2 linked regions of the Daphnia pulex genome follow. The protein of the gene in region 1 purifies or fractionates together with the protein of each later gene. This does not show direct contact. Links are inferred from orthologs where the notes say so. Each region holds a gene or a part of one and is shown in the gene's direction. Other genes may lie near its edges.

Region 1 (5,619 bases):
AACTTGACGGGTAATTTTCAATTAGGGATTTTCTTGAACTCATTCAATGAATAAAACTTACTTTCGTCGTTAGCAGCTAATTTTAGATGCTTAAAAAATAAATGTCATTTTAAAATAATTAAATAAATTTCAATTGTGAATTTTTTCTATAGTGGATAATTCAAATTCTTATTAAAATTACATCCTTTAACATTTACTAGGATGATGTAACTGGAAACAGAATAGAGAAAGAATTGGATGTAAAGGATGACTGGCGAACTTAGTACAAATTTGCATAATATTTGATGTAATAATGTGAATGATAAACTTAGCCATTAATAACTTACGTGCGAGCAGCATTTATGAAAAGTATTTATTGTATTACATAAATGAGAGAAGAGATAAAGGCAATCGGGAATCAAAGTTACAAATTGAAAATTTTACTTTAAAAATGTATGGTTCCATTAAATATCAAAGTTTATGCTTTGTTGGGTTGCATTATCTGGAAAGTCGGTAACCTGATGAAATACACACGTAATGTGTCACAAATATATTTGAGGACGAGTGTTAAAATGAAATAAAAAAAAAATCATACCTGGATCGAACTTCGTCTGAAAGGTGCTGTAGAATCCAGCTATGTTCAAGTAATTTTCGTAGAGGGATACGATCTTCTGCTCGTGGTTTGAGTAATTTAGCAATCAAGTCTTTCGCTCCAGTAGAGAGATGTGCTGGAAATTTCAAGTCAACTCTACAATACGAATTTATGGCATGGAAAATGTAAACGCTTAGAATGCCTCTTAACCACATTGGCAAATTATGCGATAAAATTAATACTTGCAAATACGGCGGTAAGTGAGATCTTGCTTTTCCTCTTCAAAAGGAGGTGATCCCACTAAGAATTCGTAGCAAAGAATACCAAGAGTCCACAAATCTACACGTTCGTCGTGAGAGCGCCCTTCTACCATTTCGGGGGCTAAATAATCCAATGTCCCGCACATGGTTGTACGCCTATTGAACAAAAACAATATAACATAAATAACTTCGATTTGTTTGGTTCTACACTAAACAATCATATTTTACTTTACCTAGACGAAGGAGCATGGACGGACCAACCAAAATCGGCTATTTTAATTTCTCCATGAAATCCTAGTAAAAGATTTTCTGGCTTAATATCTCGGTGGATTACTTTCCGCGCGTGACAGTATATCAATGCATCAGCTAGCTGAGCCATGTAATTGGCCGTCCTAAAAATAGGGGTAAATTATTTTCCACAGAACTTATGTTTCTGTTATTTTAAAAAATTTACTGTGGTTCAGAAAAACGGCCATTGGGTTGGCGTTTCAGGTACTTGTACATTTCTCCATTTGCGGCGAATTCCAAGATGAGGTAAATACGAGTTTCATCATAAAAATATCCGTGCATGCGTAAAACATTGGGATGTCTACAGTAGAGTCGCAGAAAAGGTTGATGTGCATTAGTGATATAAATTTTCCATAAAACATGTGATCTCATTAGTATGTACCGTAAATGTGACTGGATTTCAATTTCACGTCTCAACTGGTGTTCCATCTGACATTTTTGTAGTTGAGATTTAAACAAAACCTTCAGGGCTACAATGTATTTGGTATTGATTTCTCTAGCCAAGTACACATTTCCAAACTTCCCTTTACCAAGAGGACGGCCAATTTCGAAGTTATCAAGACTCCATCTGGGTTGAAACAAACAAGCAGAGAAACACACATGATTTGGAAGATTAATGCCACAATTAAAATATTTAAGTCAAGAAGATAAATGAGAAACACTTTGTTGGATTCTGAAAAACAAAAAATTCTAACATACTTTGAGTTTTCCAACTTAACAGTAGGTTGGTTTGAAGAGTTCTCTTTAAGTGGCTGCTTGGTTTCCATGTTATCTGTCAATTTCAAAATCAAAACATGAAACATTTACAAAAACACGAAGTTCAAACTTACTTATTCACTTACATTTTCGTAAAAAACGTTTAGATTGGTCTAAATTTTCAAAATGTGTTGTAATTGTATATACCTGTATACCAATGTCTAAACTTCTAAACTCTAAAACCCTAAACCGTGGTCTACTACGGTGCTGCTGCTACTGGACGGTTTTGGACAAATGGGAAAATATTCAAACGGCAGAACAACCGGCGTTGCCGGTATGATGGTATTATGGAAATATTTTCGCCTCCTCCGTTTGTCGTTTTTCTCAGATTTTCTATAGACTTCGTCTTCGTGTCTAAGACTAATTTATTATTAAATTATTTCATTATCATTAAGACGATTATTGTTCTCGGTGCTCTGCAATCTGCAAATAGGCCTAAGTCAATTTCGACAATCGTCGATCGTCGACTTCGCTACATTCTACCGCTAGTCTCAAATAGGAACTAGGAGGGTAGGAAGTAGAATAGCCTGAAGTTTGTCTGCTGCTTAGTGCTTTTGATACGTAAAAAATGGCGACTGACGGAAGCAAAAAGCAAGCTAAAAATGCTCCGAAAAATGTTAGCAAATCGAATGAAGAAGTCATCCAAGGATTTCAAAGATTACGAACTGAACAGAGACAACTAGCTAGTAAATTATCTGAGCTCGAAATGGATCTAAACGAGCACAAGTAAGTTTTACCGGTTTCACTTTATAAACAGACTTCCATAGCGTGTAGAGGATAATTTACTCCTACTATTAACTATGTCATATTTTTTTTCTTACTCAGACTAGTAATAGAAACCCTTCAAAATGTGGATGAAGACAGGAAGTGCTTTCGCATGGTTGGTGGAGTACTAGTTGAACGAACTGTCAAAGAAGTTCTGCCTGCACTGACATCAAACAGGGACCAGGTAACTTGTTTTCATATTGTATTATTTGGTTGTAATTTTAATTACAATTTATTTTTTATATAGATGACTAAAGTAATTGAAGTTCTCAATAATCAAATTTCCACCAAGGGACAAGAAATTAATGACTTCAAGGAAAAGAATAATATCAGGATACGAAATCAAAATGAACTCCCATCTACAGCTCCTGATAATGAAGGAGAAAATAAAGTTGCCAATCAGGGGGTTTTGGTGGGCACCAAACCTTAACTGATATACCTTGTTTTGTATGCTCTGCTGCTGAAGAAAAATCAGAAAACATATGTTTTGCTTTTGCTTATTTTTATGAATCTAATACTTTCATCTGCTCTACTATCCTAATGGAAGGTTAGAGTACTAAACAATCTGTGTGATTTACCAAGAAAGCTTTTAAGAAGCTTAGCTATTCTAACTTTTGATGTATTTATGAATTACTAGCAGGAATTATTCTATTAGATTTCTATTGAATGCACAATAACTTAGTTTATCTCTGGTTTCTCCGAAGAGCGACAACGCTATAAAATCATATGGATTTGAGATCACACCGGATTTTAAACCAATAATTTTTGCTGCTGCGAACTGTTTAGTTTGTGTGTAATATTTGAAAAGTCAAAAGTGTTCCCCACAAAATTGCTTTGGCGCAGTTCTCCGTAAAATTTGTTTTACAGATAAGTAAACAATGGTGATCAAAATATTTAATTTATTTTCTAGGTGAAAAGTTGGTCTAGACAGTCTACTTATGCAGTATACACCAAAACGATTCGACGACGATGTGTGGGAATTGGTCTCGATGTCAGGTTAAATTCTCATCGTAAGTTTGCTCTCTTTCTTTGTCTGCTCGCGGCTTACTATCTAAATAGATTAAGCCAGCCAACCAAGGATTTTATTATTATTTTTTTTTTTACCGGGACTTTCTTAAAGAAACTGAATTAGTGAACAAGACAACTTCTTACAGTCATCGTTTCTTTTAGAGTGAGCCTATCCTCTCTGCGAATAGCACTAAGGATGAGAATGATTTCTGTAACTTCAAAACACATCTTCATAAAACGTTCGTAGTAAATTTAAACTTAAATCCAAGTGATAATTATATCCACTAGAAATTGTGTGTTGATTTGTGTCTCGTATTTAACTGTTTAAAATATCAAGTAATTTTTAAAAAATAATTCGTGTTCCCAAATTCTGTGGAATTATTCAAATTTTGATGGTCTTCTACTTTCCCTACTTGCTAGTTGCTTGCCAATCGTGAATCTCCGTCTATAAGTTGTAAAAAGCAACGATGGAATTTGTAGCAGTCAACTATCAGGGCAATAGGAGGAGGGGAAACAATCGTAGCTGAATTGGGCATGAGCATGTCGCTATTCCTTTGATTTCCTCCAATTGGTACGCAATAATATTTTGAAGAACAGAAACATTTGTGAGGAAACTGGTCTTAGCCGGTCTGAGCACTTCACATTTGAAGTTGTTACGGACAAATCAATATCCTTGGTTACTAGAAAACAAGTACGTGAACAAGTTGTTTCGGTAGATTATGCCACAAAATCTGAACCTTTGTATAAACTAACGGCACTTCAGTATTGTTTGGAAAAGGAGGTAAGTTGTGTTGCTAAACGACATAGCGCAAAGAGGATTTTATTTTGATAGATATTGTTTCTGCTGTTTATTTCAGATGTTAACATATGCCAATTTAATGTTAAAAACTGTTGATTAAATGAAATAATGTTTGCCTTTTGAAATTTGATTATTTTCTAGACAAATCAACAAAAATATTGTTGTCAGTTGTGTAAGGGACCAAAGACATTGTAACTTGAATAGCCTCATTTCCATCAGGATACACCATTGTTCCAACATCTGTTACAAAGAACTGCGCATCTTGGGAAATAAGGTACTCTTCGTCTTCTGGGACAGTGCTGTATGGTGCAATGTGATTAGCGTGTTTAGTTCCTTGGATTACAAATATCGTCCCTTGTCCCGTAGAGGAGTTAGCATATTTTTGAGCTATTTCCAAATTTTTACTTGATGACAAAAATCGATTGAAGCGAATGTATTGATTCACTTCGGCCGGAACTGTGTAATTCACCCCTCTGTAAAGTTCGAAGTCATAATCTTGACACGCCAGCAAGAGAAGTCCGTAAAATCCCTTGTAGTAATATGTATAGTAATTTGAATCATCCCGAAATGCGCTTGTTTCGTCATTAAACGCAATGTACAGATATTCAGGTTCAGACATCGAGTATGCATAGGCAGCCAATTGCTCCTGTAAACAATGATCAGTTTTTTTTTGTTGTTAATTTTAAATTTGTAGTGCGAAACTTACTGAATTGTAGGTAGGATTGGTTGACACAGCGATATCCCAAGTAATTTTCAATTTTGAATTGTTAAGCATATCATCTTCTAGCATTATCTCTGCCCTCTCGGTGGGAGGCACTGTCGGGTCTACTTCATAAATATCATAAGTGACATTCAGGTATAATCTAGGTTGCAGTTTGAAAGGTTCGAAAGATCTTTCGACGCCGTATGAATCTATCGTAAATGGCACACCATAGCGCGTGATACCGCCATTTACGCTTATATTAGGTAATCTGTGCAAAATATCGTAAGAACCAATACAATTTTTTAAAAAGTTTGCATAATCAATTTATCATAAATGAATTGCGCAACTAGTTTAAAGAGAGAAAAATTGTAATAAGACATGTGGTATGAAAAAAGAAACAAATCAAATTGCTTTAATGAAGTTGTAATACATTCACATTTTTCTCACATGTTTAAGAAAATAGTAGCAA
Region 2 (5,836 bases), on another chromosome or scaffold:
AAACGGTCCAGCAGCACCACTGGCCGGCCAACAGACCAGCACCAACTCTTAAGAATTGCACAATCTTCCGATTTGTCGTTGCTGTGTAACGCGTATATGTGCTCTCCGATGGAATGAAATTGGTTCGGGACAATTTAAAAAGGAATGCGAGAATTACAGAGAGAAAGAGAGAGAGAGAGTGACTCGAAAAGAGATGGGCAGCTGGGAGACCCAAAGAGAGGGGTGGGAGATGGTGCGACGTGTGTGACGGGGGTTGAGTCAAATCAAAGTGAAACTGACGTCAAGAACATGATGCGGCCGCTTGTGGCTAGAGCAAACCCTACACTGCGCGATGAGGCTCTCGTCCGACTTCCGGCCCGTGTAACCGATATTGAGCGGTCCGTGCGCTCTCGAGATCTCCCCCCCCCCCCCCCCCCCCCCCCCCCCACGTCAGCTCCTATTCCGGCTTGCCAGGACTGGCTGCTTTTGCGGGACTCCCGACAGCACGGACATGCGCAGCAGACGGATGCTGTGCAGCCGGTCCGATAGAGTTTCGAGGAGCTCAGGAGCAGCAGCAGACGAGTTGCTGATTGTTTGTTTTTTTCTTCTTCTTCGGCTCCTTGTGTGTATAAGGAGAACGGCTCCTTACGTTTATCCATGTCTCTATACATTTCCCCCCCTCCATCCACCTCCTTTCGTCTCTCTCCATCTTCTTCTGCTGCCGTTAGCAGAAGGGGCGGCTAGGCTATAACATGAGCGGGATTGATTGGCTCAGCGGCGTATATATAAGGAGCAGTAGGGAGGGGGAGGGGGAAGGATCTTCGATCGGTTCCCGAATCTCTCGGGTGAGGAAGAACGACAAAGGGATGGAGGGAAGAGAAGCTTGTTCACCCAAGAAAGGGGGAGAGAAAGGCAAAGAAAAACAAACTAAAGAAGAAGGAAGGAAACGGGAGAAAATGGAAAATCTATGCTGCTGCTACTGCTGCTGGTTGAAGAAGAAGAGGAAGCAGAAGAGAGTGGTACCGACTTTGATAAGGCTCAACAAAAGCTTGTTTTGCGCTTTCCCCCCCTCTTCTTTTGATATGTGCGACAGTCGAGCACCAGAGTCTGTTTATTCATCATCAAACCGACGACGAGTGAGTGCGTGAAAATGAGAAGGAAACGACCATCAAGATTACGCCAGTGCCTTTTGTTGATTCGCCCTATTCAAACTTTGGTCTATATGTTTTTTTTTTTTTGCGGATTCAAACCCTCCACACACGGGATACATGTAGCCCTTTCATGGCGAAACAGATTTTTGATTATTATTTATATATGCTTCCTCCAAGTGTTAACATCGCCATCAATCCATCAGTATCACGTATACACACATAATAGTCTTTGGGGTCTATCTGGATTTAGGCTTTCTGATCCGCCCGAAAATTTATCGTGGCATCAGTAATGACGTTCATGCCAATGAGCTCTTGTTCTACTTTGAAGTATTATCGACCCAGTGCCGATTTTCTAGCCAAATGTTTGTTTATTTTTTAAACAAATGTGCTCGATTATTAGCCGTTTCTTTATTAAAATGAAATGTCAAATGCCAGCTATGATCCGATTGAACTGGAATAATATACCAACTCGGGAGGGATTTCGTCAGAGCTCCAGGCCTCGGGATCACTGACCCACGTGAAAGTTGCGCTCTACTTTATTTGAATTTTTTTCTCAAATAGAGTCTAATGTGCTTTCAGACTACGTCAATCAAATTTTTTTTTTTTTTTTTTTAGATTTGGTAGACACTGGCGGGCGCTGGCGGTTATCTGGCTTAAATCGCTGGTTATTAATTAGCAAGCATATACTCTTGTACATTTGCATAATCACAATATCTTCAAGTGTATGTGCGTAATTATATCTTTTCTCTTTTTATTCGGGGATCCTATTAAGTCAGCTTGGAAACTTTAAATCTTCCTCCTGTCAATTCCTTCTTGTCAGACCAGTCTTGTTTTCTCCATTTAGATTTACGCCATAAACAAAAAAAAGGATCTCGCGCGGCTTTCTCCCATTTCACTGCTGGCATATACCAGCCATAAAAAGCCTTTTCTTTATATTTATTCTATTTGAAAAACTTTGATAAAAATAAAGTTATGCATCATTTTCAAAGAGCTTTAAATTACCCAACTTATTACGCATTTGCCAAGTTAAAGTTCATCATTTAAATGAATTCACAGAAAGTAGAAACGTTTTAGAAATGATGTGCGGATCTAATGGCGGCGAAATGAGGTATTAATGTATCAACACGAACCCACAATACGTCCTACTCTTTAACAAGACCATTTATCACGCTTTCTTCTTCTTTGTACGTACTGCGCACTGACGCTAACTAGGTTAAGCAACTCGGTATTCACGGCTGTTTTTACGGATGAGAGGGACGCTCGGGTTGCTTGACCGCATTAAGTAAAGTGCGCTGGTATAACAGGCTACCGCACAACCGAGTGTAAACGACACTTTGATGAGGAAATTACTTGTCAACGCGCAAAACCCACCTCTGCAGCTGTTGTCGATTGTTCGGTGAACATAAAGGTCTATAAAAAAACGACAGAGAAACACGTTGAGATATGTGAATGAAGCGAAACAGGAGGACGGATGCCTTCTGTCTAAAACGTACATTTCAAGTGGCTTTCGTGAATCGTATAGCGTGATGGAATTCGCCAGGAAATATTTAATAATCAAACAGTTGTTGTTCCATAAGTTGATAAAACTCGTCTTCTCAGTTATTGCGGGCTCTGACGCACAAAGGGGAGATTGATATGATTGGTTAAAACATGTGAAACTATTTCGTCTCTATTGCGTTCTGTTTGTTTTGCTATCGATCTGCAGGGCAACTGCATATAATATGGCAAGTTCGCCACAAAGAAAACCGCTTACTTAGACGTGTTCATATTGCTTTTATTGTAAAAAGAAAAGCTCTCAAAAACAAATAGAAGACATCTTCGTTATTTATTACATTTTTTTTTTCAGATTTCCATAATATTACTTTCACGTGCACGACTTTCTTCATGAGCATTGCAACATGTTTTTGCTTGACATCTTTTTCGAAAATCCGAGAACCCATCAGGATTCATTATAATTTTCTAGTAAGTATCGTAATAATAAGATAGAAACCCGAAGAAAATTTCTCTTTAAGCGCGTGAATTTACACAAACACATTTTATGGAGCAAGCTAACAATTATGAAAGCCGTGTAGGCCTTACTTAATAGGGAATATAATAGCCCTTTCACTTTCCCAGTGGTCAATGCACCTGGGATAAAGACGATTTTTCTTGAAGTAATAATGCCGTAGTATTGAAGTAATAAAAACGAAATGTGCCATAAAGAAATTGCTTGTTAAATCCAGTAAAATAAAAATCCTAAAAAGAATAGTAATTTGAATAATGGCAACCAGCATATCATTATCGATTGAAATAATCGATAAATAGGCGTCGTCTGCTACGTAGGGGTTGTCAAGAAAAACATCATGGCCTCAGTAGCAGTTTCTAAAGATTCTCTTGAATCGGTAAGAAAATGATTTGACTTAAGAATTTATAGCTTAACGTGTTGCCAATTTCTAGTAGTTAAAGTAACTGAAATTATTTTAGGACTCTGACATTCACATTACATTGGAAGACCAACAGAAAATCAACCGGTTTGCACGACACAATGCAAAATGGGAGGAGCTCAGGGATGATCTGAAAAATAAAAAGGTGAAATTCTTTCTATTGCATGCTTCTTTTCGTAATGTGTGTGAAGTCTTCAAAATTATTATGTGTCATAAATGTGCTGGCAGAAATATTTTCGCATTCTGCTCATGATTCACGTTGAAACTTACAATTCTGCATTGCTACTCGTTTTCTCTATGCTTTGTTCAGGGAGATCTTCAAAACTTGGAGGATGCTTCAGATGATTTACTCTTGGTTGATGATGAATCAGCTCCAATTCCTTTCGTTGTAGGTGAAGTGTTTGTTCATTTCAACATGGAAGAGGCAAAGGTGATTTTCTTTTTTCCTCTTCTGTCAATTGTGCATCGCTGTTAAAGTACTGCTTATCGCTAATTGTTTGACTTATCACAGGAGAAACTTGAAGAAGCAAAAGACAAAGTGAAAAAAGATATTGAAGCCATCGAAGCTGAATGCACAAACATCAAGACTTTGATGAGCGATCTGAAGACGCAATTGTACGCCAAATTCGGTAATTCTATCAACCTAGAAGCCGAAGAGGAATAAAGAAAACGTCCAAAATGCTTTCTCCACTATAATAATGAAGAACAATACAAAAAAGAAAAAAACAGTCTTTGATAGCACTGACAGAAACAAATTGTCTCTCAAGCCACAAAGAGAAAAGTAAACAACAAAGCTAAAGAAAGTATTTTTAGCTAGTTTCCCTAACACTAAAAATATCTGCGAAGAAAATGTAACGCTTGACTTGCACCTCCGCAACGACGCCTCTGCATCTGGCTACCACTCGGTACCTCTTTAGTTTCGTAGAGGCCATTCACCGGACGGTTTTCCAGCCTTTCTCTCTCAGTCTCGAGCTCCACGACCTCGTAAAATAATCGATTGTTATTGCTTATGTATTCGTCCGTGTTAACCTCATTTGGACACGACCTGCAGAGAGGACTATCGTTGATACTACCCAATAGGTTCAGAAGAATACCAATCGGAAATTGTCACTTGACTGACCCAGTGACTTAGTTTTCTCGGCTGTCCATCACATGGCCGGTTTTTCATCATCCGGATCGTGCACGTTCATAAAGTCCTCCCTTCCCGTTATTGTGCTCATTACATCCGTTCGACGGTGGGTTTGCGAAGCTTGTCACGTCATGACCGTGCCGCCGCTCACTTTTCCCCTGGTCGAGAGGAAAACCCGCATCGTCCCCCCTCCGGCTGCAGATGGTAGACACGAAGTTTTTAAGCAAACAAACAAAAGAAACGAATGAATCTACAGGACAGGACGGAATATTCCTCTGCTTCTAAAAGCAATTGAAGAAAAAAGAATGAGAAGGAAAAACTTGTAACTAGGCCAAGGTTCGTTGGTACACGTTTTTGTTATAAGCTATTTTCAACTTGGGAATCATGAGAAACTTTTAGGGTACCTTCACGTTATTTCAAAAAGAGGGGGGGGGAACGACGATGCGTATGGCACTTTTGCGTTCACTTTCTTTCTTCTAGAGTTAAAAAAAAGAAGAGCCCCCAGATGCCTTTATTGCTTTGTTTTCCGAGCTGCGATGTACACAACAGACAGGAAAAGGTGTGGATACTCTACACCATATCTCTCATCTTTCTGTCATCATCTCCAAGGGTAAGTGAAGTGTTTTTAATTTCAGAGAAATAGCACACCACTTGGCCGATTTATATTTCCATCACACAATCGAGGCTGCTGGGTATTTTTCCAAGAGGGAGTATGATTGGTGTTGTGTAAGTTTCTTGTGTGTCAAAGGACTTGAAAAAAAGAAATAACAAGGTGGCAACGCTTGACACCGATACGTGCTGGCCATGACTTGCCTCCTACATGTACGACGTCCGAGCGGTTGTTGGCTTCAAACAAAAACAAGGACACGTGTTGCCAGTAAAACGAAACTTGTATTTTTGGTTGTTTGTATTTTCTTTTTTTATTTAATAAATTTTTGTTTACAGTTTTATTGTAGAAGGAAAACCCGACAAATAATTGGCAAAGTATCGAATTTGGGGAAATATTCAACGGAATCACCGCATGTTGGAAAAGGTTCGAATGGTACACTGGTCGCGGATCATCAGGTGGTTCGATGAACTCGAGCGAAAAAAACAAAAAGACATCGAGTTGTGTTGCGGAAGAAATGGGAAACGATCGAGGAAAAACGAGCGCA

What was found.
Region 2: the proteins of prefoldin subunit 2-like (region 1) and prefoldin subunit 4-like purify together in Homo sapiens (affinity purification with mass spectrometry; 6 studies listed by BioGRID and IntAct, counting the BioPlex papers as one, with this or other methods). This does not show direct contact. The link is inferred for Daphnia pulex from reciprocal best matches to the Homo sapiens genes PFDN2 and PFDN4.

Annotation. Positions count from the first base shown.
Region 1 is NC_060024.1:9,269,869-9,275,487, reverse strand, and holds prefoldin subunit 2-like, read left to right. Parts: upstream 1-2,356; 5' UTR 2,357-2,443; coding exon 2,444-2,601; intron 2,602-2,700; coding exon 2,701-2,824; intron 2,825-2,887; coding exon 2,888-3,070; 3' UTR 3,071-3,123; downstream 3,124-5,619. Other genes in the region: uncharacterized protein LOC124200621, read left to right, coding at 201-210; aurora kinase-like, read right to left, coding at 458-497, 575-727, 814-987, 1,065-1,223, 1,286-1,420, 1,502-1,687, 1,819-1,886; uncharacterized protein LOC124199325, read right to left, coding at 4,578-5,093, 5,154-5,418, 5,598-5,619. UniProt on the Homo sapiens protein: Binds specifically to cytosolic chaperonin (c-CPN) and transfers target proteins to it. Binds to nascent polypeptide chain and promotes folding in an environment in which there are many competing pathways for nonnative proteins.
Region 2 is NC_060022.1:3,649,846-3,655,681, forward strand, and holds prefoldin subunit 4-like, read left to right. Parts: upstream 1-3,358; 5' UTR 3,359-3,472; coding exon 3,473-3,511; intron 3,512-3,593; coding exon 3,594-3,698; intron 3,699-3,863; coding exon 3,864-4,013; intron 4,014-4,064; coding exon 4,065-4,217; downstream 4,218-5,836. UniProt on the Homo sapiens protein: Binds specifically to cytosolic chaperonin (c-CPN) and transfers target proteins to it. Binds to nascent polypeptide chain and promotes folding in an environment in which there are many competing pathways for nonnative proteins.